Linked DNA regions of Arabidopsis thaliana. The protein of the gene in region 1 interacts with the protein of each later gene in a pairwise test. Each region holds a gene or a part of one and is shown on either strand. Other genes may lie near its edges. The genes, in order: PIP3, AT2G41705, ACBP6 and UTR2.

Region 1 (8,029 bases):
CTTTTAAGAGATGGCATGTGAATTATGGAATATATGGTCGGTTAAGAAAAACATATACATGGTACTGAATTGCCGAATTCTATTGGTTATAAAGAAACCAACAAGTAGTGAACGTACAAGTACAACCACACAGGTTACATGCAACAAAACAAAACTAATGTATCGTACGTTATTAAGACCTTAAAGCCAACGGATTGAAACATGTCGACCATACATAATTAAACATGTGATCTTGTTCCATACGTTCTGAAAAAAAATAAGCAGGCTCAAAAATGTGCTGAAGAAACAATGAGATGATTGAAACCCATTACGAATAGACTTAGCCCAAAAATGCTATCAAAAGAATTGTCGCTAATACATCAAAATGGGCTGAATTATCTGGTCTAGCCCAACTCTTAAAGATATACAACGATTAAGTAGCTAGCTACTACTTCCATTTCCAATGTCAAGGATCAAGAACATATTTTTCTCAGCACGTGTCGTCTTTTTGAAAATTTCAACTAATCTTGATGTAAGTTCCTTCTTGGTTAAAAATAAGAAGGATACACAAAACAAACTCACCTTATGGTTAATTTTTGTTTTTTTAATAATAATTAGACCAAAATCCATAAACGAATATAGCTGGTGTTTGCAACCAGCTAAAATATGAATATTAGGGAACACCAAACTTAAGGATGATCGATTACTTGTTTTATACATACTTTTAAAAAGTGCTAATCTAAGACAGCATTAATATTGAATCTTTTCAAAGTTATTGTATGTACTATTTTCTGAACTGAAAAGTTCAAAAATGAAATATGAAGGTACAATATAGCCTAAAAACAATGAATAGAAAGGAGTATGTTCTATGTTTTCTTTAGTGTAAATAATATTAAGATATTTTAAGAATAATTAAGCTAATCCCTTTATTATTAAAAGAGAAGTACAAATTGAAATTTTGTATAATTTGGTCTCAATTTTGATTTTAATTTTGGATTTTATTCTTTGCTATTCAAAATTATTAAGGGTAGTTTGGTCTTAACAATTTTCTAAGCTTTATATGATCCAATTCAATCTAAACCGTTTAATAAAATTAATTCTCTTTAATCTAAGCTATTCAACAAAAATAAGGAATCTATATCGTTTTTGAAATCAAAATATAATCACATTTCATCTCTAAAAACAGTATATTCAATCACGAAATCAATAATCAATAATATCCAAATCATTTATTACGATTCTTCACTAATCACTAGAAATTTATATTTATAAGTTTAAAATATCAAATTTCTTCAAATATTTAGTATAAGAACCAAATAAATTGATTGTCTGCGGTAAACCGCGGGTTAAAACCTAGTTAAGTACATAAACATGCTTAGTTTACCATATGTGTACTAAATGACAAGATAACTAATTAAAAAACAATCCACAAAAATAAACGCATTCACTACTAATTAAACAAATATACTGCTAATCAAAATCAAAAGCACATTCTCAAGGCATAATTGAACCATAAAATTGATGTAAAAAAAAAAAAAAAACCGTAAAGCATACGGTAATCAAATGTAGTGACCGTTGGAGGGGGAATCGGAAAAAGGAATTGCGAGAAACGAGGACCATTATTTAAAAGGATGGAAAAAGACAGATGTTTATGGATCGTTCTAGCCGTTACCAGATACGATACACGTGGGATGATCTGTATGGATTAACGAAGAGATCTGACCTGTCTTTTGCCAAACTGATGTGGAAATTGTGACCTGGATGTTTTAGAGATAAAGATTGGCTGCCCCTTGTGGTAGGTCAGTCCCTTTCTCTGAACTATATAATATACTCAATTTAATTTAACTAGACTAGTTGAAATTGTTGAAGTTCGCTAACCATAATGTACAAAAATCCTTCATGTTCCGGGAAAATAAATCATAATTAACGATAGGTATAGTAGCAGCAAAGATAAGATGGTGATCCATTCTCACATGCAATGATTCGGATGAAGTTTAGCCAAATATTATTATTATCCAACCTCTTCTGCACCACGAAGAGACTTTATTTACGTAATATATTTGATGGTCCAGTACTACTATCCAGACATTATTGTTTTCGTTTCCAAATCATAAAACTTGAAATCTTATTGATTACTACTAGGGTCGATATCTCACTATTTGGAAACCGCAGGCTCCCTATTTATTAGTTTCAAACTCAATTGAAATGAAAATGTGTATTGGTGGTTTTAATGTTTGCACTGCGTAATGTTGCCTGAACTGTATATTTAATAAATTTACCACAACTTAGCAGATATAATTTTGTTATACGAAATCGTATAGTCTTCTTCATGGACAAAGAGGAAGGCAATCATCATTTTCTATGATTGCTCATCGACCTGGCATTTCCATTACCAAAGGCAGCATAATATCAAATCAAATATTTCTTTGTCGTACTTTACTTGAATTAATGATATTATCGTGGGTCGACTTAGGAAGTAAAGTTACTTCCATTTCATATATCTAAATCACATTTGCGTAAAATTTAAGTATTACACAAAGTGATAAAGTAAATTAAGTAATAATTGGCTAGGGATATTAACAAAATAAATAATTTTGATTAGGGCTACGAGGATAAGGACAAACGTCGTATTAACGTATAAAAAATGTGAAAGGAAAAGAGTAAACTAAGCTTTAGATATTAACACTCATTACGGGATTCCTAAATTGCCAGCACTTCGGATTATCCGTCAGTCCACTATTTATGCTAGTTTTTCTTTTCCTTGTGAGCTTGCACTATGGATTTTTCTTTATGCAATTCTCAATCTAAATGACCATTAAACTTTAGAAAAAAATGACCATTAAGTTTTAATGTACATTTGTATCAACTTTCTAATATGCCACGTCCGTATTGCTATATACAAACATAACCATTCAAATTAATATGGCTCTCTCAAAGGAAAAAAATAAAAGGAATAGCAAATGAGTAGATAAATTTTTTGATCAAAAAGAATAAGATGCACTAGTATTAGTATATACTCCCATACATCATTTAACCAAATTTTAAAATTGATTATAATCCATAAATAGTCTTCAAATTTCAACGACAAACACATTAATGTGAGTATAAATTAGCATAGACTACTATATAGTTTATATGCGGGGTGAATGTTTGTCTATACAAGTTTCGTCAAAAAAACGGCACCAACCATAATTAATAGACTCTTATCTTTTGCTGGTATATGAACTCTTTTTAAAAATTGCCGCGAATATACCTTCTTCGTAGATTATTAATCTTTTTCATGTACAGTTGCCTTTAGCAGATTATCATATGTTACAAACATTTGACCTAATTTGAAAAAATGTTACCAAAAAAGATTTGGAAAAAAAGACAAAGATATTGAGATAACCGTTGAAGAGAGTTTGGGATGACAGGCTGACGAGAAAACCATACACCTCATTTCTATCATTAACCCTCACATGGCTTATCTGTACATCTGGACCCCACCACCTTCTACTTTTATCTCCCATTTTTTTTTTCAAATTATTACTACCCAAAAAAATATTCAACAAACCTACAAAAACACATGTCTTATTTTTATTTATTTAAACATTTGTGTATTTATCCCATTGTTCCATATTTATTAGTAGGAAAAATATTCACATTTTACAGAACTGCAAAAGATTTGGCCATGCAAATTATACCCCACTTTGATTGCTATTTTATACACTATATCATACAGTACAAGAACAAAAATTTGATTGGGCCAGTAATAATGCATATAACTATTGATGTTAGCAAGAGAAAAAAATGCATTAAAACACAAATTTGACTATTATTTTGCAGGAACATTCGTGATAATTTTGACTATTATTTTGTCAGTAATAATGCATATTAATCGTATGTGATTTTAACTAAAACTGGAAAGTTCCAAGGAACATTTAGTAGTTTATATTTTTAGTACTAAGTTAGTTTAGAGGGTTATTAACTATTTAATCGTACTAATAATGATTATAAGCAGAATTATGTAGACTATACAAATAGTACGTAATACCGAAAGTACCCTTGGTTTATCCCTGGCATTACAAGGGTTTCCTTTTTCCCCTTTAAAATGGCAGAAGAGATACACTGTCGTCGTCACACAGCACCACAAACTCCATAGCTAGCTAGAGAGTAAAAAGAACAAAGATGTCGAAAGAAGTGAGCGAAGAAGGCAAAACCCACCATGGAAAAGACTACGTGGATCCTCCACCAGCTCCTCTTCTCGACATGGGTGAGCTCAAATCCTGGTCTTTCTACAGAGCTCTCATCGCTGAGTTCATCGCTACACTCCTCTTCCTCTACGTCACCGTCGCTACTGTCATCGGCCACAAGAAGCAAACCGGTCCTTGTGACGGCGTTGGTTTACTTGGTATCGCTTGGGCTTTCGGTGGTATGATCTTCGTCCTCGTCTACTGCACCGCCGGTATCTCTGGTAAGTTTGAATCCCACCAAAAACCCTAACTTTTACTTGTTTGGTTCGTTGGTTTTATTGTTAATCTCGTTCTTGTTCTCGTCTTCTCGTAGGTGGTCACATTAACCCAGCTGTGACTTTCGGTCTGTTCTTGGCCCGTAAGGTCTCTTTGGTGCGAGCTCTTGGTTACATGATAGCTCAGTGTCTTGGAGCCATTTGTGGTGTGGGTTTCGTGAAAGCTTTCATGAAAACTCCTTACAACACTCTTGGTGGAGGAGCTAACACCGTAGCTGACGGTTACAGCAAAGGAACTGCTCTCGGAGCTGAGATTATTGGAACTTTCGTCCTTGTTTACACCGTTTTCTCTGCAACTGACCCTAAGAGAAGCGCTCGTGACTCTCACATCCCCGTAAGTCTCAAAAAGCTTGAATCTTTAATTGAGTTTTTTGACAAAGTTACTATGAATCTGATTGGGTCTTTGTAGATTATGATAAAGGTTGAATCTTTTTAGGATTTAATGATAAAGTTAGTATGAATATAAAATGGGTCTTTGTAGATTCTGATGAAGTTTGAATCTTTTTATGGTGTAATGACAAAGTATGTATGAATCTCTAAGGATCTTTACTTTGTAGATTCTGATAAAGTGTGGTGGGTTTTCTTGTGATTAGGTTTTGGCTCCACTTCCAATTGGATTTGCTGTGTTCATGGTGCATTTGGCTACTATCCCCATTACTGGAACTGGTATCAACCCAGCTAGAAGCTTTGGTGCTGCTGTTATCTACAACAACGAGAAGGCGTGGGATGACCAAGTAAGTGTTTAGTTATTATCTGGATTAGGTATTCACTAATCATTCATGACTTCATGTCCTAATGTTGGTTCTGTGTTGGTTTTGGTTTTGCAGTGGATCTTTTGGGTTGGTCCGTTCTTGGGAGCACTAGCTGCAGCAGCTTACCACCAATACATATTGAGAGCTTCAGCAATTAAGGCCTTGGGCTCGTTCCGAAGCAACGCAACCAATTAATGAAGGCTTTTTTTAAGATAATGTCAAGAAACAACTTTAAGATTTATATGCTTTAATTATTATTTGTTGTTCTTTTGTGTGTAATGAGAGAGATGGTGGATTGATGTTAATTATGAAATGGCTCAGTGACTTCTATTTCCTTCTTTAGTTTTTGATTGTCTTTGTTAATCGTTTGCCTTTGGTTTCTCTTAGTAGTTACAAATTCATGTTTTCTCTTCATGTCAGTTCGTAAATATCGAACAATCCAAGTTGGAATTTATTATTCACAACATCACAAGATCCTTCAATGTACATTATTACAGCTAGCGTCCAATTAAGATACAAATTTCGGCTGAACATGGTGTGTGGGTCTTTTGGTTATTATCCTCGTGTCGACTCTAAACCATCGGGTCATATGTAAACCATTCATTAATTGACACGTGTTGAGAAGGAAATATTGGATTCCATTTGCTATGTGGTTACATTTTCGTTAGTTGACAAGAAAACAACTATTTTCGCTCCATTTGCTTTAGTCTTTTTTTTCGATGTTACTTGTTAGAATTAGTATTGTTTTTAAAAGAAAAAGAACTCGTGCGAGTACCTTTTGTTGTTTTTGTGAAAGGATAAAAAGGAGTGGAGCCAATAGAGTTGTAACAACCAGACAAGAAACGAGACATTAAACCCATTTTTTCCACCGCACTCTAACTTTTCTTAGGCCGCGTGTCGCGTAGCTCATGTGTTTATCACATGGGTAACTTTTCTGCGTCTAGTTACCGTATTGTTATTGTTATTGTTATATAGTAGACTCCTTTTGGCTAAGAGTCTTTAGACCCACCCAAACGCATATGTGTTTGGATGTATTAGGAAATTATTTGTATAAAAGACTTTACCAACTTAATTGAATAATGCATTTGATTAAAGAGAGAAAAAAAAAAGAAAATGCTCATGGAAGCAATAAGCACTAAATTTGTCTATGGGATGTAAATTGCGACAGTGAGAGTTGGCTTTAAAATAGTATGAATACAAATACGAATTTGTCTACATGGAATAGTAGTAATAATTCACGTCTCGTCTTTTCAGAAAAGTGAATGCAGAGGAGACAGAGAGAGAGAGAAGGACCACAACGATGGCCTTCACGCTTTTACTGGTTAATACGCCTAGTGTCTCAGTTTTAATTTTAAATACTTAGCCGTTATGATCGATTCTTCGTTATCTCTTCTTAGCTTCAATATGGTCCACTCATTTTGAACTTTGTAAACCCTAGCAGCTTATGAAGTATGAACCATCATATAGTTGGGCCTTAAATTTTGTTTTATAATAGCTATTGCTTTATTGGTTCTGGATAATAGCAATTTTGCAAGTTGCAAAATACCTTATGTGACCGGCCGGTTCACCCCTCTGCTTATCCCTAAACCGATTTACTTTAACCGATCTGATGCTGTATAGCTAAAAACATAAACTTGAAACAGACAGCAGCTGAGTGTGAAACTTAGTTGTCTGTCCATTTTTTTGAAAGAAATGATGTCATAATATGTTGACAAAAAACATCTTCAACTTTGGATATAAATCACTAATTCAGACTTTTTAAAAGTTGCGAACTTTTTTAATCATTCCATGTTACGGATTATTTTTTATGTGTCTGGAAAAATTGGCTGTCAAGGTGATTTCACGTGATAACTAATTTGTTTTTTTGAGGTCATTTGCCATCTTGTGAAAGCCTTTGGAGCCTACTTAAAGATTTTATTTTATTTTTTCTAGTAAAGACGATTGAAGTAACTGCTGTCTATTAGTTAAGATCTGAATCTCCAATGAGGTTATTTATAATTACTTACTCACATTGTGCAACAAAACCAAGCACAATTTGTGGTCCACAAACCTTTATCTGGAGGTTTCTGGTTCAACTTCTCCGGTTTACACTTAAATCTTCGTTTCGTGAGCAAACCCAACGGGGAGCTTCCCGTTGGGCCATGTTTCAGTGGGCTCGGTGTAAAGCCGACATGAGTAACTGAAGCCCAGTAGCATTGTCGCAAATAACAGATTGATTTGTCCGTTGCAAACGGTTTAAAAGCAGAGTACGATACTTTGTTACTTTTAAAAATATCAAATCTAACAATTATGTAACAAAATCAACTAGTGAATAACATAAAAACATAAGATATATTTGGCTTTAAAATCCCCTAAAAATCATCGTTATGGAATAACATCTACTTTTCGACAAAAACAAAGTAACAAAAAAATCGAAGAGTAGAGCTCAAATTGAGTGTAATAAAGAATGAACTCAACAAAATTATTCATTCCTTTATTTTGCAAAAGTGTTGTTTTGACATTTTCTATACACATATTTAAAAGAACTATACTATACAATATTCAACAAGTTCTGCTATAACTAACACAATAAATATAGTTGTGAATTTAATTTTTAATAAACAATCTTTCGTTTTCCAAACTCGAAGGCAACTTGTAATCTTTCCCATTATAGAAAACGAAAGAAACCAAAAAAAAAAAAACATAACCAAAGAAAAATGCATCACACAAATCAAAACGTATTTATTAGCAACAACCAAATATCTTAATATTTTTTATAAGTTACCAATAAATACCAGCTTTCCCATAATAC
Region 2 (8,892 bases), on another chromosome or scaffold:
ATTGGTGGATATGCACTTTGGTTAGGGATCTTGTGTGGAGCTAAATTATCTGGAATCTGTAAACTGTTCTAAAACACACTAATTTTCACCTAATGTCAGATTTTATAGTGTCTAGGCTCAAACTAGAAGAAATGAGTAGGTGTGCTTAGCATCTGTATGAGGTTTTTGTTCCATAGCAGTTGGAGATGTTGATGCGTTTTGTTTGTCGTATTTGTGTTGAGTACAGACATAGATGGACAGGTCGTTATGAAGCTCACCTTTGGGATAAGAGTACCTGGAACCAAAACCAGAACAAGAAGGGAAAACAAGGTTCCTCTTCTTCTTTTTTTTTTCTCTCTGCATCTGATAAAATTGCTGTTGTCATTTGCAATAAGTTTTCTCTTGTTTGGAGTATCAAAGCTGATCTTTTCTGTTTCCTATATATTTTCATGGGTGACGGAATTTCGCCACACCAGTTTATCTAGGTAAGCTAAAAGCTTTATATGTGTTGATTATATTCTTGTATATCAAATTGGATAATTTTTCACTGAAGAACCCAACTCTTACTTGACAGGAGCATATGATGATGAAGAGGCTGCTGCTAGAGCTTACGACCTTGCTGCCTTAAAATATTGGGGTCCTGGGACACTTATAAATTTTCCGGTGAGATTGCTACCGTAGTATGCTTTCTAAGTTACTCTTCAACCGTGTGGTTTCCTTAATAATTTTCATGGTCAATATATATGCATAAGTGGAGTAAGGATGGTTAGAAGTGTTTTGGAGCCACCCTTCTCAAGTTTCACTGTTTTTAGCTACATGCATTTACGTATTTCATTCTCGTAGGTGACTGATTATACCAGGGATTTAGAAGAAATGCAAAATCTCTCAAGGGAAGAATACCTTGCATCTTTACGTAGGTGCGTATGTATTTAAAAGCACTATAGTTTTCTTTTAAGAACCATTTATTGCTGATACTCTTTAGATATCCCTTTGGCAGAAAAAGCAGCGGTTTCTCTAGGGGAATAGCGAAATATCGTGGACTTCAAAGGTAAAACTGGACCAGCAATTGAGTTCTCATTTCTCTGTTTTGTCTGAAAAACTATGGAATCAAGAGTGATCATCTTTGTGTAATTGCCTATAAGGAAGATTCTTTAGTGACACATTGTGGATCATCACGGTTTTGATTAATTGACATATGGTGGATATGCTACTAGTTAATTTCATAGAAAAGTCTATATGCTACTCTTAAGAATAGGGATATGGCAAAACTATCTTCACTGTTTTGGCTGTAGCCCTCTTTAGTTTTGTCTTTTTAACCTTCTTTCTCACAATTAACATTCATACCTGATATGCATTTCTGCTGTCTTTCCATCTATTCTGCACTTCCCGACCAGCCGATGGGACGCATCAGCCAGTCGTATGCCTGGACCTGAATACTTCAGTAACATTCATTACGGTGAGTTGCTAACAATATTGACCTAATTGAAACAAATGTTTGCTTGCATCAGACTATTCAAAACTCATTGTCATTATTAACAGGGGCAGGTGATGATCGTGGAACAGAAGGTGACTTTCTAGGTAGCTTTTGTCTGGAAAGAAAGATTGATCTAACAGGATACATAAAGTGGTGGGGAGCCAACAAGAACCGTCAACCAGAATCTTCATCAAAAGCATCAGAGGATGCAAACGTCGAAGATGCTGGTACTGAGCTTAAAACACTGGAACACACATCCCATGCAACAGAACCATACAAGGCGCCAAACCTTGGCGTCCTTTGTGGAACTCAGAGAAAAGAAAAAGAAATATCATCACCATCAAGCTCTTCTGCTTTAAGCATCTTGTCTCAGTCGCCTGCCTTCAAGAGCCTAGAGGAGAAAGTGTTGAAGATCCAAGAAAGCTGCAATAATGAAAACGATGAGAATGCAAACCGTAACATCATCAATATGGAGAAGAATAACGGCAAGGCAATAGAGAAACCAGTTGTGAGTCATGGAGTTGCTTTAGGCGGTGCTGCTGCTTTGTCTCTTCAGAAAAGCATGTACCCACTTACCTCTCTCTTAACGGCTCCATTGCTCACCAACTACAATACATTGGATCCTCTTGCAGACCCTATTCTCTGGACACCATTTCTTCCTTCAGGATCCTCTCTTACTTCAGAGGTTCGTAGTCATATATCTATAGAACCAGAGACTTCAGAGGTTACTACAACACATCTTCCTTATGTCATTTTCTTTGGCTCTCTTTCTTCTGCAGGTGACAAAGACAGAGACCAGCTGTTCCACGTACAGCTACCTCCCACAAGAGAAATGAGCCGTTCCCTTTAGACTTTATGTATGTCAGATTCTCCTTTTTTGAGATGAATTCGTCGACTTGACATCTCTTTGTCTCTTTTATGGAGAAAAAGTTGGGAAAAGTGTGACAATGGTCTGAAGCAGGAATGTACAGGTTTTGTTAGTGGTTGTGTTTTTTTTTTTCCAGTGTGGAATATAGAATCATGATATTTTGTGTAAAACAGAAAAAAGTTATCATTATAGTATAGAAGTTTGCTCTTAATATTTCTGCACAAGGTATAATATAATTTGATTGTGACCGATCTAATTATTCATCTCTACCAAATGTTACGACTATGTATTATCACATCATCTGCACAAGACTTATCTAGCTTTGATACAACTAACTGAATCCTATTACCCAGACAGGGACTGAGTATATAATAGTTCCAATCGCAAAAGAAACCACAATGGTAAAAGATGCATACGCATAGGCTCTCCATGGGTAATCACTTTCTCTCATCGCATTGAACTCAGCCATGAAGGTCGAAACTGTGCTCAGACATCCCAACAGACCAAACTGTATGCTCGAAGCAACCGTGTTACATGTTCTCGTGTTCACCTGTTTCCCAAAATATATACAATGAATGTTATCTTTTGTGATTTGATCTGTTTGGTAGAGAGAGGAGGTGAGGAAGTTTATACCGATTTCTTCAAGGTAGCCAATGCTGCCATAACGCAAGCTGCAACTACATTTGCAATGAGGGTGCCAAATGGGACCCATCTCAAATTTTGACTATCCTTTCCCAGCCCACGTCCATTGAGTCGGGCTAAGAACCATCTGAGCCAGACACCAGGGGCTGCAACTAAGCAACCAAACCATAGCTGAGCCTCGCTTGTTCCTTTGTCAAACTCTTTCACAAGCAGTATGGAACTGGCAGTGAGTAAAGCCACAAGCAACAGAAGCATCAGGGTCAGAGACACAATATGGCTCTGGAAGGTGTTAACCTTAAGACAATGGAATTTATCCTCAGAAGAAGCTCTTCTATGAAGAAGCCATTTAAACCCTTTGGCCGTTTCCACTCCCAGAATTATGGAGTATGACGTGAGAAACAATCCTGTAAAGTCGTTTATGCTGTAAGCAAGTATGTTTCATCCAATTTAGTAGGTGATTGGAGATTGAGAAGGGAATTTTTTGTTTTTACCTAATAAAAAGCCAAGCACAGCATACACCCATTGACCATCAGCACTAAGATCCAGCATTTTCTGGTTCCAACCGCTGAATGTTGTCAGACTCCCCAAATAACCAGTCGATAATCCTATCGCCACAAATTCAGAAACTCTTGCTATATCTGCTTTGAATACAACGCCAAACCAACCCATCAAGAATGATCCTACCTATAAGGAAGCATTTGGAGAATTTTTATTAAGAAAGATAGGTTTGTAATTAAGTTTGAGATGAGTGCATTGCGACTTTCACCATGTTGGAGGGAAGATCAAGGTACAAGATGCTCCCATCACTTGTTACTCGAGCACCAGTTGGCCCAAACAATTTTTGCAGCAAATATCTCGTAATGGCCTGTATATTTGGAGTCAACGAGTTGATTATAATGATTTAAACAAAAACAAAGCACAACAGAGAGACAGACAGAAAATGGAAAATAAGCATTTTACCCCAAAAATCCCAAAAACAGCCAAATGAATTAGGCATGATATGTACTCCAAGGACTTTGGTAACACTCGCTCTTCCTCCTTTCCCTGTGCAACCCACGAGCTACAATAGATCAAAACATTGGACAAAGAAACCAATACTAACAATGATGTGACTATGCAAAGTTAGAGGTAGTCTCTACGGAGTTGTTTATTTCAGGTGACAAGAGTGACTTGGTCGGTAAAGGAGATGCTGTTATGTCCTCAGGCAAAGTTTTATTTACGGAAGCAGTGTTGAAAGCTCGAAGGTCATGTAATATATCTTGTTCTTGACGAGAAGTATCATGAGTCCCTTGTTCTATAAAATCATCAGCAGACAAACGGCTGCTTCTACCAGCACTATGCCTTCTCCGAAGTGAGCGGTCCCCAATATCCCCTGCCTCTGAGACACTCTCACTATCGACGTCATTGTCAATTAGGTGAGGCAAACTACGTGATAAGCTTAAAGAAGAGGCTACACTGCTCTCCCGACTAAAAGACTTGGCTTGATAAGGTTCTATGCTGCTTTGACCCGTATCCATAGGCGTTGTAGCCAAAGCATAAGATTCTTAAATGATGCTCCACCTGCACATATTTTAAGCCACAGCCACACACACAAGAAAGAAGACATGAAGGAATGTGCAAAAAGAGACAAGAGATAATCGAACAATGTGGCAAGTAAACATTCGAGAAATTCCTAATGCTTATTAAAGACACTGTTTGAAAAGTTTAGCTGTAATCTTCAAAACCATAGCTTTTTGATACTAAGACAACAAATTCAAAAAAGTTCACATATTCATGATAGATTATGACTTTAGTTTATTACTTTCTACAGAAGCAGAATAAGAATGACCTGGTGAAGGGATCCAAAAACAGTTTTCAAGATTTTGTCCTCCACTATCCCTTAAAACAAAAGATAAAAATTTACTTGCGTTTTAGTTAGTGGAAATCGAAAAAAAGGTAGACTAAAATAATCACTTGTTCACCAATAGAGAAAAAAACGAAAATCTTAAAAAGTTGTACAGGTGGCAAAGACGAATGAATACTTTTCTTAGATTGGGACCTGTTTTGGGTTTGGATTTTGAGCTAGACATTTAAAATTCAGCAGCTTTACCTAATGGCGAATTCAATCTTAATCGTGAAGAATCAAATTTGATCCCAAAAGTCGCCGGCGGAGAAATCGAGCTAACAGGAGACAATCGAAAACCATCAATTTATTCTCTGGTTTATTGGATGTTAAGGGAAGTAGGTTCGATTGTAGAAGATGGACGAACAACAAAGCAGAAGACGATTGTAACTTTGTTTAGTCGAACACACATGTACAGACAAGTAGAGTTGGTTTAGTCGGGAAAATCGCACCCTAAAAAAAACAAAAACAATACATAAGTTTTAAAATATTTCTAAATTATGGGCCACAAAGAGCTGGCCCAGTAGCCCCGCTTCTCATAACAGATTTTTTTTGTCTCTGGCGGATAACAAAAATATCCTTGGAAACGACAGCCCAAACAAAATCATCTTTAACATATATTTAGATGTTACTTGAAATTTGATCATATATTTTGAAAAAATCCAGATAAATTATTAAAAGTTAATGGTATTAAAAAAAAAGTTTCATTGTTTTTAGTTGAAGAAAATAGTGTCATTTTGATTCTACATTTGATATAATTTTACTAAAAATTGTTTTTTTTCTGTGTTAAAAAAAAACAGCATTTTTGAGGATTGAATATGAAGGTGGATTTCTTTAAAGTTGTGTCACAACTGATAAAAATAAAAATAAGAATCAAGTTGGGGAGTGGCAATGAAAGGAATAATTCTAATGGCGGCTTTTATTGGCAACCTTCGGAAAAATAATAAAAACATTCGTATACTTTGCCGTCAAACTTAGGAACGTCGTCGTTTTCGTCGTAATATAATTGGCGTAACGCAACTCTAAAACGAATCAGGATGTTCCACGTACACTACACTAGGCTTTTAATGTGGAGCCCGTGAGAGAGCCACCCCTACTTGGCATTGACGCAAAGATTTATATTTGGGTCAACATCAGCAACTGTACTTAAGTACTTATATATATTAATTATAAGATTATCTTCTTCTTTTTTTTTGGTTTAATATAAGATTACCTTCTTAATATCACGACAACTAATCTAATCTTCTCCTTATTTTTTGGGTTTTTTGATAGAAGAAGAAAGGTCCCGTAAATAAATGAAACAGTTTCGGAATTCTTCTATTTTTGTCGACCACTTGTGTTATCCGCAGCTAGTTGCAAAATTCTTTTGTTTGATTGTATAATCAAATTGATTAATGAATCAAATAAATTGGCAGGAAAAAAAAAAAAAAAAAAAAGGAAGCACAAATGTCAGTGAGGTGAGCCCAAGTCTTCGCCACCTCTCTCTGCTTTCTTAGTTTGCTACTTTGCTTTGCCTTTTCCCAAAGAAGAACCATAAAAGTATGATTTCTTATTGAAGCCAAGACTAGAATCTATCGTCTAGGGTTCTTTCTGGGTTCCAAGGAAAAATGGGTTCATCGAAGAGGCAATTCAAGGCCATGCTCCGCAAGAATTGGCTCCTCAAAACTCGTCATCCCTTCGTTACTTCAGCTGAGGTTTCTCTCTTTTTCTTTGCTCCTCAAAACTATGTCGTTTTCATGCTTATTCACTGCTCGTCTTAATGGGTCTTCTTCTCCTTGATGCTGAATGCAATTTTTGTTTTTAAAATTTCGAATTGTTGATCAAATTTTGCTTCTTTCTCTTATTCATTGGCAGATTTTGCTTCCGACTATTGTAATGTTGCTGTTGATAGCCGTCAGGACACGGGTTGACACCACAATTCACCCGGCTCACTCGTAAGATATCAGTTTTTTACACTCGTCACTAGCCTCTCTCTCTCTCGTACTAAAATTGGATTTTGATTTCGTTTTCTGCATTTTGTTCTGTTGATCATGAAAGGAACATAGACAAAGATACAGTCGTCGAAGTGGGCAAAGGCAACTCTCCTAGTTTTCCAGAAGTTTTGAAGCTTTTGCTTGCTGAGGGGGATTTTTTAGCTTTTGCACCTGACACTGATGAAACTAATAACATGATCGACATTTTGTCTCTTAAGTTTCCGGAACTGCGGGTAATCATCATCACGTCTTCATCTTATGCTGCATTCTAGATCGATAGTTACTCTTCATATGTCACACGTTTAATCGACCCTGTGTCTTCTGTTTGCAGCTAGTTACTAAAATTTTTAAAGATGACATAGAGCTGGAAACTTATATAACATCTGCGCATTATGGTGTCTGTAGCGAAGTGAGGTATGTTTTGTTCTTTTTTCCAGCTAATAAGAAGGCAATTTCATCCCTAGTTTCTTGTCGCCTTCAAACTTTTTCTTGTACATCTCTCTGTTTATTCTGTGAATTGGTTAGCATTTCTTGAATAATGGCAGTATCTCCTTGGGTTAGTTGTTACAAATTTGCTACAACTTTGATGATTATACTACCTGAACAAGACTGGTATCTTTTCTATGTTGGAAACAGGGAGATATTTTGGCTTCACATGCCCAGTGTGTCTGCATTTTATCTTCACTAGTACTATCATCAAAGTTATAACTAGCTGTCTATGCTTTTTCGTTTTTTTTTTTTTTTTAAATGTTAAAACTGATTAAGCCTCATCATGTTTGCTTAGGAATTGTTCGAATCCAAAAATAAAAGGAGCAGTGGTATTCCATGAACAAGGACCTCATTTGTTTGATTATAGCATCCGCTTGAACCACACATGGGCATTCGCAGGATTCCCAAATGTCAAGTCGATCATGGACACAAATGGACCTTATATCAATGATCTCGAAATGGGGATTAATACCATACCAACAATGCAATACAGCTTTAGCGGATTCTTGACTGTATGGCCATTACTTATTTTCATTGAAAGTTTGTCTAATCTGTGCCCATGATTTTTCTATCATCTTTGTAGCTCTCCCCATAAAGCTACTAGGCAGTACAGTAGTCAGATAATTCTTGTCTGTAGACTATATAATCTATGCTATTATAGGGAAATATAGGATTAGTCAAAGAAATTCCAAATCAGGTGTTAGATTATCACACACTAAAGTAGTAGTTACCATTTAGTAAACTAAATCAGTTCATCTGATTTGAATAGAAATTCTTGAAGTAGGGGGTTTCATCTTGGTTTCGCCCAGTTTTGATTGGTCTTATACCCTTTTGCAGCTCCAGCAGGTGGTAGACTCTTTCATTATATTTGCTTCTCAGCAAAATAACGACTTGCCATTATCACATTCAAATCTTAGTTCAGCTCTACGCTTTGAGCTGCCATGGACACTGTTTAGCCCCTCAGTGATAAGAATGGTTCCATTTCCAACCCGTGAATACACTGATGATGAGTTTCAATCTATTGTCAAAAGCGTAATGGGATTGTTGTATGTATCACCTGCTCTATATTTTCTTTCCTTACATGTATGCATGGTATTTGAGTGTTTATGGTTTGGATGATTATATAATTGTTGAGCAGGTACCTTCTGGGATTTCTGTTTCCAATCTCCCGGCTTATCAGCTACTCTGTCTTTGAGAAGGTTGGTTTGGGTTTATGTATTTTGCTTACTTTGGAACACAGCTGATATGTATCTTTCGTTTACCAATAGTTGCTTTTCTATCACTTACGCTTTTTTTTCTGACCTTGCAGGAACAGAAAATAAGAGAAGGACTATACATGATGGGCTTGAAGGATGAGATCTTTCATTTGTCGTGGTTTATCACATATGCATTGCAGGCAAGTTTCTGCTTGAAATTTGACTTGTGAACTTTTGTTTGCCTCTCTTCCCGTGGCTATGGTAGCATTTTCTGTTGTCAACAATATTGACTTCAGCTGGAAGAAGCAGACGCTTTACTTCTTTTGATATATCTAATAACTTGTAGTTCTTGGTATATTTTGTCTTTTCTAACTAGACTTTGTTCTGCA
Region 3 (7,414 bases), on another chromosome or scaffold:
TTAATAAATTTATGCTATTTTTTTATTTAAATGTATAATTCACCGCGAGACGAAATTTTATAACTCAAATTTTAAAGTTTTAAGTTGTATTTGTTTATTTTGTTAAATGTTTAATATTGTATAATTATATTTTGATTGTTGTTTTTCGGATTTCACCCGTAGTACACCATCTCATATTAATATCGAATCAAACCCGTCAATTCTAGGATTTCACCCGTAGTAATATCTAATTGTATAATTATATTTTAATTGTCATTCTAGGATTTCACTCCTAATTCTATCGCAAATTATTATCAACCCAAACCAGTCAATTCTAAAATATCACCCGTAGTACACCATCCCATATTAATATCGAATCAAGCCCGTCAATTCTAGGATTTCACCCGTGGTAGTATTTAATTGTATAATTATATTTTAATTGTCATTCTAGGATTTCACTCCTAATTCTATCGCAAATTATTATCAACCCAAACCAGTCAATTCTAAAATATCACCCGTAGTACACCATCCCATATTAATATCGAATCAAACCCGTCAATTCTAGGATTTCACCCGTGGTAATATTTAATTGTATAATTATATTTTAATTGTCATTCTAGGATTTCACTCCTAATTCTATCGTAAATTATTATCAACCCAAACCAGTCAATTCTAAAATATCACCCGTAGTACACCATCCCATATTAATATCGATTCAAACTCGTCAATTCTAGGATTTCACTCGTGGTAGTATTTAATTGTATAATTATATTTTGATTGTCATTCTAGGATTTAACTCCTAGTTCTATCGCAAATTCTTATCAACCCAAACAGTCAATTCTAAAATTTCACCCGTAGTATAAAGTTTAAATATTTATAATGTTTAAATTTTTTATAAAAGAATCAAAATGTGTTTTAAAAAAAATAAAGTTTTAAGTGTGTTTTTTTAATATTGTTAATTTTGTTTAGTGTTTAAGATTATATAATTATATTATGATTGTTATTATATGTTTTTTTCCATAGCATACTATCCCATGTTATTATCCACTCAAACCCGTCACACCATATAACCCCGTCCCGTGAAATTAAACACAAATTTGTCATTTTATTATAAATTTCAAATATTTATAAAATTAGAAACTTCAAAAAAGATTAATATTGATCCAAACTTCATCATTGAATTTTGAGTGTTATATCTAAGATTTCTCTCGCAGTATATCGTCCCGTATTAATATCTTTTATATTGTTTAAATTTCTTGTAAAATTTAATTTATAATTTCTTAAACTTTTTAAAGTTTCAATTTTTTAAAATAAATAACCCTAGTAAACAAACCATTTAATCTTGGATACCTCATAAATCAAGTTTCATGATCATTCGTAATCGAAATCATTTTGGTCCTTTTTATAGTATGGCTTGACCATTGTCCAATTTTTTTAAGCGATGTGGGACATTCTAAAATCGTAATTATTATCCACCCAAACCCGTCCTACCATATAACCCAGTCCCGTGAAATTAAACATAATTTTGTCATTTTCTTATAAATTTCAATATTATAAAATTTGAAACTTACAAAAATACAATATCGACCCAAAAATCATCATTGAATTTTGATTGTTATATTGAAGATTTTTCCTGTAATATATCGTCTCGTATTAATATATTTTTATATATTTATAATGTTTAAATTTCTTGTAAAATTCAATTTATAATTTTTAAAACTTTATAAGTTTTAAAATTATAAATATTTAAAGCATTTTTTAAAGATAAACTTTATAAAAAGTTTTTAAAATTATAATATTTAACTTTTGATAAAGTTATAATATTTATAATTTCTTGAAACATTTTAAAGTTTCAATTCTTTAAAATAAAAAATCCGAGTAAAATCGGATAACTATTTTAATTTTAGACGCCTGATAAATCAAGCTTCCTGCTCATTCGTAATCAGAATCATTTTGGTCCTTTTATAATATGGGTCTGAACTATTGTCCAATTTTTCTAAGCGATGTGGGACATTGTACACATATTATTTCTTCATAGGTTGAATAATATATTTCCGTTTTAAAAAATTTGAATTACATCATATTCAGAAAAAATATAATATTTTATTAACTATATATATTTTATATAAATTCAAAATAAATAAAGTATAAGATCAAATAAAAATGAAAGAAGAATTATATATTTATGTTTAAATTAGGTAGAAATATTTTAGGAAATTAGTTAAGGTAAATAAGAAATATGGTTAGTTTAGAGATATTGTTTATATTATGTAATTAAATCATTAATTTCGTTTTTAATTATTATTTTTTAGGTAACTTTTCCAAAAATTAATGTTATCCAAGATCAGAACAGAATTAAACATGTTATCCAGGATCCGAATAGAGTTAAATCGGGTAAAACCCACCCATTTGAATTAATTGTTGAATTATGGTTCACATCTTCAACATTATCTTCAAAAACCTCCTACAAAAATGTATATATAGATTAATTATTTCACTTATATTAAAATATATAAAAGAATTTGTTATGTTAAAGTGCATATACTATATATTTATATCGTTTAATTTTCAATTGAAAAACACAATGCATTTAATATAAAAATTCTAGATGTATAATTTTGATAAAGAGATTATCATAATACTAAATATTAGTATGTTCAACATACAATTAATTATTTTAATATTCTACAATATTATTTAATTTCTTGAATCACGGTTAAGAGATTATCATTAAGGGAAGGAAGTTAATCTACAATCAATAAAAAATAAAAGTAATTATGATCAACTCAATAAAAAAACTATTGTTTTTGTCATCTACCAAATTATAAACCTCAAATTTGTAGACACTTTAAAACTAAACGTCTATTTATTTACGAATTTGACTTTAAATAAACCACATACAATTTGAACAATTCTGCCAATGTTCGAGACGAAAAAAATAAATAAAAAATCTGCCACGTTCTTTTTTTTTCCAGCTTTTGTCTTATGTACTCCAAATTGAAATAAAACGAAAGTTTTCTAGTGAGTGGTGAATGCGATGGACCATGAAGAAAAAGACCTACGGACCAGAACGAATATATCATCTTGAATTCAACTGTTTTAACTAAGACCATATCGAGGACGGACCAAAAATAACTTATGGATTTAGTTTGCATCATGATTCTCTGTTTTAACCAATATCAAGCATTTTTAAGAGATCACACCATGTCACAAAGTAGATAGCTTAAATATGATAGAAACACAAGAGCAAGAACAAGTCTTATGCAATGTTATTTTGATGCTTAAGATAAAGTTACTGCAGATGAGGATTTGATTCATCAGGTTGAAGCCTTGGAAGCAGCAACTTCCAAGAGTTGCTTGACCTTAGTGATATAGTCATTCATGGCTTCTTCCGATGATTTCCCTGACATCATAAACAAAGAAAAGTTCAAATTCAATTCCCCAAGCACAAAAAATTGTTGAACTTGAGACAAGAATCCAAATTACAAACAAATCACTAAGCTAAAAAAGTTGATCACTTGAATTGTTTTTGTACCTTCAACAGCCTTCCAAGCATCCCACTTGGCTCTCTCCTTCATGCTGAACATTCCAGGACGACCTTTGAATCAATCAATAAACAAATACACATTATTAACAACATTACAGAAAAGTGAACTAAGAAGCAAAAATAGAGGATGTTAATATTCAGACAAAAATATTAACTGGTGTCCACAGGCCCAAACTTGGCTTGCTTGTAGAGTCCGTAGAGAATGAGCAAATCCTCGTTGGATGGCAACTCCGTGAGCGTATTCACTTTCTCAGCGTGCTCCTCAAATTCCTCCTGCAGATATATAAATCAGTGAAACAACAAATTCGAAGAAAAGATTCTTAATAGCCTAATACACCATCAAACATATTACTACTTAAAATTCTCAATCGGGATACAATAATCAAACAAAACTCAATAAAACCAAACCTAGCTCAGATTCAAAACTATATTACCCATCAGCAAACAGTGTTTAACAAATCAGTTATAAGAACAGTAAATGGACAAAATCATACAGAGAAAAAGCGTGATCAGTAATAATTCAATTCCATAAAGTGATCATTCTTGACTATACAAGCTTCAATTTCGTAACTATAAGGAACCTATATATCTGCAAATCTGGATCAAACAAGGCTACCAACACAGAAAATATAGAATTCAGGAATGGTGAACACAAACAAAACTAAGATCCGAGTAGTAATAAACCGAAACCGAGATCGGTTTGGTTCATTTTGGATCTGAACGTACCTTCAAACCCATGATGAATAGACGTCGGAAGTTGAGATTGGTAGGAGAATTAAATCAGTGTAAGACGGAGAAGACGAGGACAACGCGTGAGATATATATGGGCGTCATGATAAACCTCTCAGGCCCATAAGCCATAACTATTAAATATTTTCTTTAAAGGAAATAAATATTTTTAGAGATAGATACTGTATACGTGGATTCAGACACCCCGTTGATTGGCTTATTCTGATCAGTATGGGTACAACTGTAAAACAAAGAACATGTTCTGTTTTTTCTTTTTTTTGCTCATCGAACATGTTCCTTCTCCATTGAAATGACAATATTAATTTTCTGTTCCATCAGAAAAACCATAAGCATATCCTTTTGTAAACTTAAATAGTTTAATGAAAAAAAAACTATTTCTGTTTCTGTGCTAGTTGAATATTATCCTTTGGATCATTTTAGATATCCAGACACGTAGATTTCTTCCCACTACAACAAATCAAACCAAAAGGGATCTTTGGTGATTATAAGAAAAAAGGGAGGAAATCTTGGAAGATTACCTAACAAATCAAGGAATATAAATGTTAGATCAAAACCATAAAGACCATTCCTCCACAAGTAAACTAAACTAAATTAAAAAGAGGTTAAGGTTAGGTTATAAAACTGTACAATCAAGGCAAAATCCTCTATAGTCGCTTCACCAGGTAAACAAAAAAAGAAAAAACGGATCAATTTGCTCTTATGTTATCCCCCAAACAGCGACTATATCAAGTGTTATCTATGTCAAAACTCTCGAAATTTACTTGATATTCATTACTGAACATCAAAAACACATAGAGAGCATAGACCTGTTCGAGCAGAAATCTTCTCAATATCGCTTGCATTCCTATAATAAATCTTACCAATAGAGAGATGCTACTGAGGATAGTACGGTGGGCGGTACTGAGGTGGTGGCATCCCATAACCAGTTTGCTGCACATAAAAGACGGGTCGAGAAGCTGGAGCTGGAACCGAGCCAAATAGAGCCCTTGGGTTGCCATATGGGACAGCAACACCAGGAAGTATTGAGCTTAAAAGACCATATGGGTTCACTTGTAAAATCTGACTAGGAGTAGGCAAAAGTGGTGGTTGTTGTTGCGGCCTCAGAGGTGGGATTGTCAAATTATATTCCATACTTGAACCATTAGCAACTCGAGGACGCTTATTATCGACCTTTTGTTCTTGTGGTTGTTGGGGATTAGCAGGTGAATTGAACTTAGTGGCACGCTTCCTCTGAGCTTTCTGATCCTCCAACTCCTTAACACATTCTTCGAGTTTCTCTTCCATGAACTCGGACTCGATGTTTTTCTCTTTCACGACTTTGATAACTGCTCTCAAAGCACTTAGTTCTTTATCAGTAGCTTCGTTCTGCACCTTAAGAGAGTAATTCCCTTCAGCACAAACTCTCTTAGCAGCTTCTCTAGAGTTCTTCAAACTAGTTTTCAAAATCGAAACTGGTTCAAATTCACCCACCATCTCATTCTCGTAAATGAATCTAATAGCAACAAGTAATCTCCCAGTATCCAAAAACTTCTGAACGAGAACTCCTATTCGATTTCTATCTAAACCAATCTTCTTGCAGATCGTTGTTGCTTGTTTATACTTAGAGATCAAGAAAATGTAATCACAAATCTCCTCAGTACTAAATAAAGACCCTAATTCAAAAGCTGCAACCAAATGCAAAAACCCTAACGCTTCTGATGGTTTGTTACCTATATTTGGTTTCCAATCATAAGCAATAGTCCTAGCTCTTTCTCTCAAATCATTCGTGAGATTCGCATTGATCTCAATCAAAGCTTCTAATAACAAAACGAAGATCCTCTTCACATCGATCGCTCTCGCCGAGGAAGACGACGATGGTGATGAGCAATGGTAAGAACCTTCGATTGCATCTAGAACCAAAGGTGCTGGATTCTCTGAGCATCGAATCGCATTAGGAAGCTCTTCATTGATAGATAAACGCTTCCTCGAATTCTCAATCATGTAGTTACCCAAACCTTTTCCATCATTCTTCTCACAAAACTTTCTCAATTCCGGCCAAAGGACTGGTGTCTCCGTCGTAACCGCCGTGGGAGTTTCGATATTACCGGAATTGGAACTAGTCACGGCTGATTGGAGGCGGTTAAACAATGAAGACTGGAGAGAAGAAAAGTGAGAGTCAATCTCAGACCATGAGAGGTTAAAAGATGGTGAAAGGAGAGATCGATGAGCTTGAAGATCATCGAAAGCTTTCTTCAATTTTTGTTTCTTCTCATCAATTTGATTAATCGATGCGGCGATTGATTCCGCCGCCGTCATAATCTGAACCCTAGGTTTATTAAATTGCTTTGCTCCGCCGTATCGGAATCTCAATCTCTGAGACCGAGAGAGCGATTTATTTCCAAATCAATCACTACTTTAAAAAAAACTTTATTGCTTATATATGTGAACAGAATTTGACAAGGCTTAAGATTCCGGTTAATGAATCAAATCCCTTTGGTCCAATTATCTAAACCAGATTTTCCTCAATCTATCGACTCACTTCCTGAGACCAAGAGAGCGATTTATTTCCAAAGCAAAATAACTATTTTTGAATAACTTTATTGCTTCTATATTTGACAGGCTTATATGGTCTGGGATTAAAATGTCAAATTTTCTATTGGGTCAAAACAGGAAAACAATTCCGGTTTATTAATCAAATCGCTTTGGTCCAATTATCTAAACCCGATTTTCCTCGGATTTGAAGGAGAAAACATAACCAAGAAAAGATATAACTTGCCAAAACAAATGGTTTCTATAGTGACCATAGAATAACAAGAGACGACGACATGGGACGTTTTCTTTTCACACCCGACGTTTCCTTGGTAATCTGCAACCATTATGAGCTTTCCTAGTAGTGTCCTCGATGTAGACTATCGGATTCTGATCAGACCTCGAGTTGGTGAAACCGTCTCTAAACGCGATAATAGCTTTCTTCTTCTTTCCGAAATGCGTAAATCCGTTCACCTTAACCACCACAGATTTCAGCCCCATAGCCTTAGCTCTTCTCCCAATGTTTTCAGCGGTTGCATCAGCTGTGTAATTCGTCATCTTCCTTCCACCTTTCAGATCGGGTAAACTACCAGATGTAGCTTTGCATTTGACGTTTCCTTTGGAATCTGT
Region 4 (8,340 bases), 4.6 Mb from region 1:
TACTGGCATCTCATGTAGTAGACAATGTGTTGCTAGATTTTTTCAAAGAAAACAATAATAATGAGACAAGAGACGAGGATAAGTTGGTGGAGATAGTTGAAGAATGGGTGATGAGGAGACAAGACGATGAATATAATATGTTCATGAGTTGGAAAGTGAGCGAGAAAAGAGAGATTTATGTGAAGGAAATGAAATGGGGTTGTATCAATGGGGATGAGAAAGAGTATGTGGTCGAAGAGTTGGGGAATGGTTTCCTCACTTCCTTGGTTGACGAACTTATCCATGATATATCCTTGTGAAACTGTTTTCTTTGCCACATATGTATGTATTATACTATATGCATTACTAAATTTATGATATATAGTGCTATTATCTTTGTAAATGGTATGACATATATTGTCTGAATGTTTAATGAGTAATGAGAGATTGATGAAACAAACAAAAACTTCTAAACTTTGAACTTGATTACGGTAAAATCTCAGCGACAGAAGGTTGATAGAATCTCACATTAAAAGTAAACTAGTACAAATCTAATGACAACATCTACTGTATCATCTAAATTCATGAAAAATAAGTCTAAAAAGGATAATAATAAATTACCACGTTAATGTTGAGCGGTTTCAAGCATAATGAACGGCCGTTAAGTGAAATGGGCCCTAAACTATAGTTTTTTTTGGGCTTCAACTAATCTGAGCTGGATTAACTTTAACGTAGGAGTGGTAAAGTTAATACATATAGAACTAATCAGTTTAAAGTTAACCATGACTTGAGTCACTAGAGATCTCATGCATCCTCCTAATTTTATATTTAATGAAAATTGTAACAAATTTCTCTTACAATTTTTTTTAAAAGCAAAACCTAATTTCTGTGCATAAATATATCTAACCTCGAATCCCAAAAATTGAATTATTGTTTCAGTAAGAAAAGAAACCCATAATTTAGGAAATAAACCGAATTCCCCTATGTAATAGAATTACGTACCAAATCATTGTTGCTGAGAGAGAGACGCTTGAACGCATGGAGACAATTTCGATATTTGAAAACTTGTTTACTAATATATTGTTAGATTTTAATAATTTGCATTTGTTGCACTAACCAAAAATTGCGACATATTACCTATAGTTTGTTTTTTTTGGGGGCAAATTACCTATAGGCTATATCACTGCATTTTGTAATCACACGTAGTCACATAGGACATATATATTGTATAGTTCTGTTTATTGTATACAAGAAAGTCATACTCGTGCTATGTTCAGTTATATGCCTTAATATTAATAAGCCAAATTTAACGATATAAATATAATTTACTAAGTTTTAGGACTTGTATATAAGTTGTACAGTAGTACTACTTGTTTAAAATTATACGTATAAGTGTATAATTTTTTTTTCTTTTCTTTTAAAAATTTAGTTTTATAATATTTTAAAAATATTCCTAGCAAAGAAAGAATAATTCATATATGCTGACTATCACGTCTAGTTGTAGTAGTAGCTACACAAATACTTGAATTTGAATTAATAAGTATATAGATAAATTGTACAAGTATCACCTATTATAAGTTTGCCAACCCTGTTTTGCGCATGATAATACGGCAGTAACAGTGTCCATAATCAATAATAACACAAAATCTTATTAAAAATTCGTATTTTATTTAGAAGAAAAAAACTAATTCATCTATGAAAATTAGAAGGAGACGTAACCGCTAACTAGTGTAACTGGACCTGCCTTCGGTGTTTGGTAAGATTCCGGTACTCTGTACAAAATGGCTGAAGCTAAGGCCCACACTATTTGACCGTACGTCACTGGATTGTTTCTCTAACGACTTTGATTCTTTTACTCGCTTGAGTTTGAATGTAAATGTCTGATTTTTTTTTAACAAAAAAGAATAAAATATATATCTACATAAATCTATAGTTTTCTAGCAATAATATTGTTGTCAATTTGTGAAATGTGATGGGTTGCTTGCATATGCAAAAGTCTCTCGATCGAAGTCTTCCGTTTATTATGAACCACACAAATGGTTTTAAGCAAGAAAAATATCTACGAGTAAGATCAATTTTGTTATGTGTAGAGATTATCATTTGTAACTTTATGTATTAATACAATTGCACGTAAAGCTTGACCTTCTAATAGAAATAAATTTGATAGGAAAAAATCTCTAATACCAATTGCAATTTTTTTGTTGTTGTAATATTGCAGTAAGCTCTCTCATTTAAGCCTTTGAACAAAAAATAAAATAAATATCAGATTTATTGTTGAGTTTCGCGTTGGTATTTCAAGAAAAGAATATGGTCTTTGGCTTTTGACCAAAAAAAAAAAAAGAATATGGTCTTTGGCTCTTTGCGACGCCTATATGCATATATGATATTTGTATGACTATAGACTCATAGTTAATTTATTTTCTATTCCATTTTAACTTATCAGTGTCACTAATCAAAGCTATTATTAAACGGTCTATTTTAAAACAAACCATTTTGTCTATATGCTATTTCATATACGACGATTATAATCGCTTCTTTAGAACTAATAGCCAATAATAATGTATATTTCGACTGTTCACCATACACCGCCACCTAATTCTTCTAAAACATTTCAATTCATTGACTAAATATCGTCATTATTTTGCTTACACATTTTGTATATGTTCCTCCAAATTTGTTCACTAGAGTTTTCAACTAGAACAAAACAACTACTCTGTTGGTGAAAGAATGAATATGCATGTGTGAAGTTTATTGCTCAATATGGATATAGAAGATGAAAAGAAAAAGAGTAAATTGATTTCTTTACCAAAACGTGTCCAGATGTTATGTCAATATGTAATTCTGACATGACCAGAACTTCTGTAACGCATTTAACAATCACTTCCGAAAATAACAAAAACAAAATTCAGGAAAGATGATGAAATTGTAAAAGACAGACTGTAATGGCGTCTATTGAGACAATGACTCAATCTGTCTTAAACCGGAAAGTTGACTCGTAAGCCATATTGATTATCTTTATTAAATTTTCCTTTTTATTCTCTTATTCTCTCGAAGTAGTAACTTTCTTTTGCATCAAATAAAGAAAATATGAAAACGCACCCCTAAAGTTTATCTTATTTTTTTTATTAGTGCCTCTAGTTTTCTAATGTGTAGAGTCAGTGACACACTTTCTTTTTACTTTATATCAAGATTTGATGATATCATATGATTTTAGACTTCTAATTAAGGTTTTTGTAAAAATTGTCACACTACTTTTTTGAATTCTTTCACTTTTTTTAACAAATGTTATTTAGAAAACATAGTCAATATACAGATCCTAAATGTAGATAAAAATTTACAATTTTGACTAGCAAGATCTGATTTGATATGTTTCTTATATATCAATTTTTACCCTTATTTGTTCCATTTTACTTTGATACTTTTTTTTATAGACAAATTTAGATAATTTTATTTGATAAGTCATAGCATTTATTTTTCTTATTTTTATACCAAAATTTATTATAAATACATTTTTCAAACAACACATATACAACACAAACTGTCATTAAAACCCAAATTTTATATATATATATATACCAAGCTGGTAATAATATGATATGATCGTAATTAGCAAACATGAGATCATGCAATAAAAGACTTAAGACAAAAAAATGTGCCACGCTGGTAATGCAAATTTTGTCGTGGTGTGTAGATAAACAAAAGTTTCAGACTTAAATCAAACATACATAAACGTTAAGGGTCTTACTTGCAAATTTGAGTTTTACCGGTAAAAAAAAGAGTAACAGGAAACGTAAAAAGAAGAAGAAGAACGCTCAATGGAGAAAAAACGTGTCCCGAAGTGGCAAATCACGCGACGAGTCTCTTCTTCTTCTTCTTCTTCATGCGTTTTCTCCTTCCTTCTTAAAAGCTCTCTTCTTCCTCCTCCTCTTTTACCAATACATCTATTAACTCTCTCTTCCCTCTTCATCAAGTTTCTCGAGGAGAGTGAAGAATTTGGTTTTAATTATTCTTTGATTACCCTTTTTGTGGTGTGGTTTTCGTTATTTCGAGGAGTGATAATAATACCGTTATGAGTCATCACTTTACATGTGTTTGATCAATTACTCTTAATTCACTTTCTGGGTTTCTTCCTTTGAATCTCTCCTCAAAGAAAAGAAAAGAAAAATGAAGGAGGAACAAACAAGATCTCTGTTTGGAATCTCTTTGTCTGATAAACCAACTTGGCAACAGTTTCTCATTTGCACTTCTGGTTTCTTTTTTGGTTATCTCGTTAACGGTGTTTGCGAGGTTCGTTTCTCTCTTTTTTGCAATTTGATTCGAGAATTTTGATACATAATCAATCAACGTTAATGTTTTTGTTTGTTCTTTGTCATAATTCCACATACCCAGCTCCTGAATCTCGTAAATTTATAATTTTTTTGCATTTTCAATCTCTTGCATGCTAAGTGTTTGATGTTTTGTTTCTGAGAGAAAAAAAAACAGAGGAAGAAGAAAAAATTGCATGACGAACTAAACTCTCTCCAAACTTGTGAGAGATCACAAAAAATCTGTGATCTTTGTAAAGAAAACAGATTTTAGAGAATGTGATTGGATCTACAAGTACTCATATATGATCATTGACTTGATTTATTTTTCTTTGGTTTTGCAGGAATATGTTTATAATCGTCTTCAATTTAGGTAAAAGTCAACTTTTGATTACTCTTTTAAGTTTTAGATTTGAACAAAAGTTAACAATGGGATTTTGCTCTGTCTTTGTAGCTTTGGGTGGTATTTCACGTTTATACAAGGATTTGTCTACTTGTTTCTAATCTACCTTCAAGGCTTTACCACAAAGCATATAGTTAATCCGATGAGAACTTATGTCAAACTCTCTGCTGTTCTCATGGGTTCACATGGTTTAACCAAAGGATCTTTGGCTTATCTCAATTATCCAGCTCAAATCATGTTCAAATCCACCAAGGTAATAGATCCACATTTCCCAATTACAGTCTCAATGAGTTTAAATTGAGTTTAAAGAATGATCGGAATGACCATCTTTCGGATGTTTTAGGTGTTACCGGTGATGATAATGGGAGCGTTTATACCCGGTCTTAGAAGAAAATACCCAGTCCATGAATACATTTCAGCGTTCTTGCTTGTTCTTGGTTTGATCCTATTCACATTAGCCGATGCGCAAATGTCTCCAAATTTCAGTATGATTGGGATTATGATGATAACCGGTGCATTGATCATGGATGCTTTCTTGGGTAATCTGCAAGAAGCTATCTTCACAATGAATCCTGAGACAACTCAGGCAAGGAAACTAAAGAAAACACGGTTCTTTCGGTTTTCCTTTACCGGTCTGTTTTGTTTCGTTTCTGAGATTAACTCTTGTTATGTGTGTTGTGCAGATGGAGATGCTTTTCTGCTCAACAGTTGTTGGATTACCGTTCTTGTTCGTTCCCATGGTTTTAACCGGAGAGGTTTTTCGTGCGTGGACTGCGTGTGCACAAGTAAGTAAACAACCTCTGTTCTCTTTTTTCTGGTTTGACTTTTGGTCAACCTTTAACCAAACCAAGTTAACCTTATGAGATAGTCGTCCATTTTAAGTGAAAGTGACAAAGAGTGGAACCTTTTATTTGGCTTTGAAAGTACTTCTATAGATTTGACTCGGTTTATGATTCAAACCGGAGTTGGACTCAGTTTAGAGAAAAAGTCAAAATTTGTAGGATTCTTGGTACCACGAAATGAGAGAGATCATTGACCGACGACGTGCCTCTGAATCTGCCAAACTTTTTAAAAGCCAAATTGTCTCTTTTAAATTCATTGATTCCATAACTTAAGTACCAACGTGGAATATTTTATAGTCAAACGGTTTAATGATTCATTGGTTGACATATTTAAAACCAATTGTGCTTTGTTTATATTTGCAGCATCCGTATGTGTATGGAGTGCTTGTATTTGAAGCCATGGCCACATTTATCGGTCAAGTCTCCGTTCTCTCGCTTATTGCTCTCTTTGGAGCCGCCACAACTGCCTTGGTAAATATCTAATCTTATCTTTGAATACTCATTTGTATTTTAATTGACTCAATGGTCTAAAATCACATTTCGTTGTGTGTAGATAACAACGGCTAGGAAAGGGGTTACATTGTTGCTGTCGTATTTGATATTCACAAAGCCGTTAACGGAACAGCACGGATCAGGCTTGCTGTTGATAGCAATGGGGATTGTATTGAAGATGGTTCCAATGGATAGTAAAGCTCCGGCCAAGATTCCGGCGAGACCAGCGGTTAGGATCGCAGGAGGCGATGGTGATAGAGAAGAGGACGAAGAAAGGAAGTCATTGGTTTGAGAATGTGCCATGTATTTATATATATTTTATCTCACAAATTCAAAGGGTTTATAGAATAATGTTGGATGAAGGAGACACAAAATAGAGTTAAAGTTGTGTCAGAGACTTGTTATTAGATTCTAAAGTGAAATTGCAAAAGATTGAGCTGTTAAATTGTTAACTATGATATGAATTATTTTTGTCATCACTCTCAGAAGAAAGCATTATTCGTCTCAAAGCCTATTCATAAAGCGGGAAACGCTAATGACTACATTCTAAACGACAGGATCAGTGAAGAACCTGATTCTATCTAAGATCCTCCAGTTTCTTTCTCTGATCTATGAATAACAAACTTATCGACAATCTTTACGGTGTTGACAGGATCCTGCTGCAATGTTGTTGCACACCATTTGCTTGGAAACCTTCTGTGATGACTCATTTTCACAGTCGATCTCGGCTCTGCATCCCAGTCCTTGTCCAGCTTCCATTCCTTTGGCACCTGTACTCATTCATCACATACACTCCTCTGTTTAATTCTATAATCACAAACTTTTTCTTTTGTCATTTCGAGAGTTGTTTTTCTCACCTTGTCTACTCCGAGAGTGAAGACTTCAAGGTCTCCATCAGGTTTGATGTTGGAAACGGGTGAATGATTTGTTAATTGGCGATCCGAAGTGAAGAAAATGCTTCATCAAAGTGTATGTGAAGCCAGTTGATGGATATATATAAGTAACTTCCAAAAACCAAAGATACAACAGGGGTTGAGAAGAACCCAAAAGTAGAGGAACACAGAAGCATAATAGATGGCTTGCTCCGCTTCGAGAAAGTGACTCCCATTCCTTTCTCGACAGATGTTAGTCCGTGTAACCGCCATCACCTATGTCAAATACTTTACTTTCGGCTGAAAAATAGTTTTCTATTTCAGCTAAAACGAAGGCTAAGTTGACGATTTTACCTCGGGAATATCAAATGCTGACATAAGATACTTGATGCAGGCAGGATATAATCCGAACGTCCACTGCTCAATACGGTCTCGGAGGCCAGTAGGGTCCGGAAAATGTTCATTTTCTACTGATTTGTACCACTGATACAATGTATGATACCCTGTGTAGCAAAAAGTTTGAAAATCTCAAAATCCATTAAGGTTTGATCACAGATACAAAAAAATATCAATTAAAGTAGGATCACATATTTTTTGTCCACTTGTGTCAATGACATTGTAATGAGGAAAGCCACAACATTCTATGGAAAGGAAACTGACCGGAGTTTGCAAGGAGCTTATGCTGAATACAGATTTCTATGCCGAGTTCCAACAGCAACATAAGAATCAAAGCAGCCATCAGGTGTGCAGAAACATGAAGAATTCCAATTAACAGTCGTTTCCTCCGAGATATTTTTGAGGGAACAAACATAATTGCAGTTATTAGCAACATAAGAACCCCGGTGAAAGACACATATGACTGCTCTGTTACATACACAAAGGAGCTCCAAACTGTGCCAAAGAAACTCCCCAAGTGGCCAGAAAATGAATCGCCTCGTAAGATATGGCCTAGCTCACACTGAAACCAACAAGGAATGAAGATAAAAACTTTCTCGTGAGTGCAAGTGAGCATAAAAATTTCTTCGCACAGGAAAAACACTACTACAGATATGCAAGGCCTGTCTCAGTTTGACCATTTAATAGTGGATGCTGACAATGTGTACCATTTTAACAAAAAAGTCTTAATGACCAAGTCAGGCTGCATTGCTGAGAAAATAAATATAAAATGGAGAAACAAGAAACAGTTCATATGAAAAAGAGTTTGATAAAGTCAAAGATGTGTAAAACCGCACCTGAGGGAACAAGGAAAAGACCAAGAGAAAGTATATGATGCCACCAATGAAATCAAATTGCCAGTTCTTTTTCCTGAACTTTAAAATATTTCCCAGAGCAATCTGCAAATAACAGCAAACAACATAAAATATCAGAATGCAAAGAAAAGAAGGCGAATCAGTAACCGTGGATAAGAGGTTCAAGAAACAAGAAAAAGTTTACCCTGCTTGAATCTT

Evidence for each region.
Region 2: the proteins of PIP3 (region 1) and AT2G41705 interact in a protein complementation assay, tested with the Arabidopsis thaliana proteins (one large-scale study listed by BioGRID).
Region 3: the proteins of PIP3 (region 1) and ACBP6 interact in a protein complementation assay, tested with the Arabidopsis thaliana proteins (one large-scale study listed by BioGRID).
Region 4: the proteins of PIP3 (region 1) and UTR2 interact in a protein complementation assay, tested with the Arabidopsis thaliana proteins (one large-scale study listed by BioGRID).

Annotation. Positions count from the first base shown.
Region 1 is NC_003075.7:16,704,526-16,712,554, forward strand, and holds PIP3 (plasma membrane intrinsic protein 3), read left to right. Parts: upstream 1-3,835; 5' UTR 3,836-4,146; coding exon 4,147-4,432; intron 4,433-4,524; coding exon 4,525-4,820; intron 4,821-5,079; coding exon 5,080-5,220; intron 5,221-5,313; coding exon 5,314-5,433; 3' UTR 5,434-5,882; downstream 5,883-8,029. UniProt on the Arabidopsis thaliana protein: Water channel required to facilitate the transport of water across cell membrane. May be involved in the osmoregulation in plants under high osmotic stress such as under a high salt condition.
Region 2 is NC_003071.7:17,393,671-17,402,562, reverse strand, and holds AT2G41705 (camphor resistance CrcB family protein), read right to left. Parts: upstream 5,294-8,892; 5' UTR 5,053-5,293; exon of another isoform or gene 4,524-5,052; 5' UTR 4,481-4,523; coding exon 4,103-4,480; intron 4,008-4,102; coding exon 3,924-4,007; intron 3,829-3,923; coding exon 3,730-3,828; intron 3,648-3,729; coding exon 3,455-3,647; intron 3,368-3,454; coding exon 2,955-3,367; intron 2,872-2,954; coding exon 2,653-2,871; 3' UTR 2,482-2,652; downstream 1-2,481. Other genes in the region: AT2G41710 (Integrase-type DNA-binding superfamily protein), read left to right, coding at 227-309, 456-464, 554-642, 823-896, 977-1,027, 1,374-1,435, 1,519-2,303; ABCA1 (ATP-binding cassette A1), read left to right, coding at 6,453-6,539, 6,700-6,779, 6,883-7,051, 7,150-7,232, 7,603-7,819, 8,145-8,353, 8,446-8,506, 8,617-8,703.
Region 3 is NC_003070.9:11,407,836-11,415,249, forward strand, and holds ACBP6 (acyl-CoA-binding protein 6), read right to left. Parts: upstream 4,399-7,414; 5' UTR 4,265-4,398; coding exon 4,253-4,264; intron 3,800-4,252; coding exon 3,682-3,799; intron 3,578-3,681; coding exon 3,515-3,577; intron 3,383-3,514; coding exon 3,297-3,382; 3' UTR 2,931-3,296; downstream 1-2,930. Other genes in the region: FRL2 (FRIGIDA like 2), read right to left, coding at 5,150-6,571; NFD3 (Ribosomal L18p/L5e family protein), read right to left, coding at 7,097-7,414. UniProt on the Arabidopsis thaliana protein: Binds medium- and long-chain acyl-CoA esters with very high affinity. May function as an intracellular carrier of acyl-CoA esters. Confers resistance to cold and freezing.
Region 4 is NC_003075.7:12,058,290-12,066,629, reverse strand, and holds UTR2 (UDP-galactose transporter 2), read left to right. Parts: upstream 1-3,771; 5' UTR 3,772-4,143; coding exon 4,144-4,266; intron 4,267-4,627; coding exon 4,628-4,656; intron 4,657-4,737; coding exon 4,738-4,939; intron 4,940-5,029; coding exon 5,030-5,272; coding exon of another isoform or gene 5,273-5,295; intron 5,296-5,341; coding exon of another isoform or gene 5,342-5,369; coding exon 5,370-5,471; intron 5,472-5,554; coding exon 5,555-5,695; intron 5,696-5,891; coding exon 5,892-5,999; intron 6,000-6,047; coding exon of another isoform or gene 6,048-6,081; coding exon 6,082-6,312; coding exon of another isoform or gene 6,313-6,323; 3' UTR 6,324-6,446; downstream 6,447-8,340. Other genes in the region: TRM11 (uncharacterized protein), read left to right, coding at 1-299; AT4G23015 (uncharacterized protein), read right to left, coding at 6,048-6,323; AT4G23000 (Calcineurin-like metallo-phosphoesterase superfamily protein), read right to left, coding at 6,983-7,168, 7,247-7,395, 7,553-7,850, 8,125-8,226, 8,327-8,340.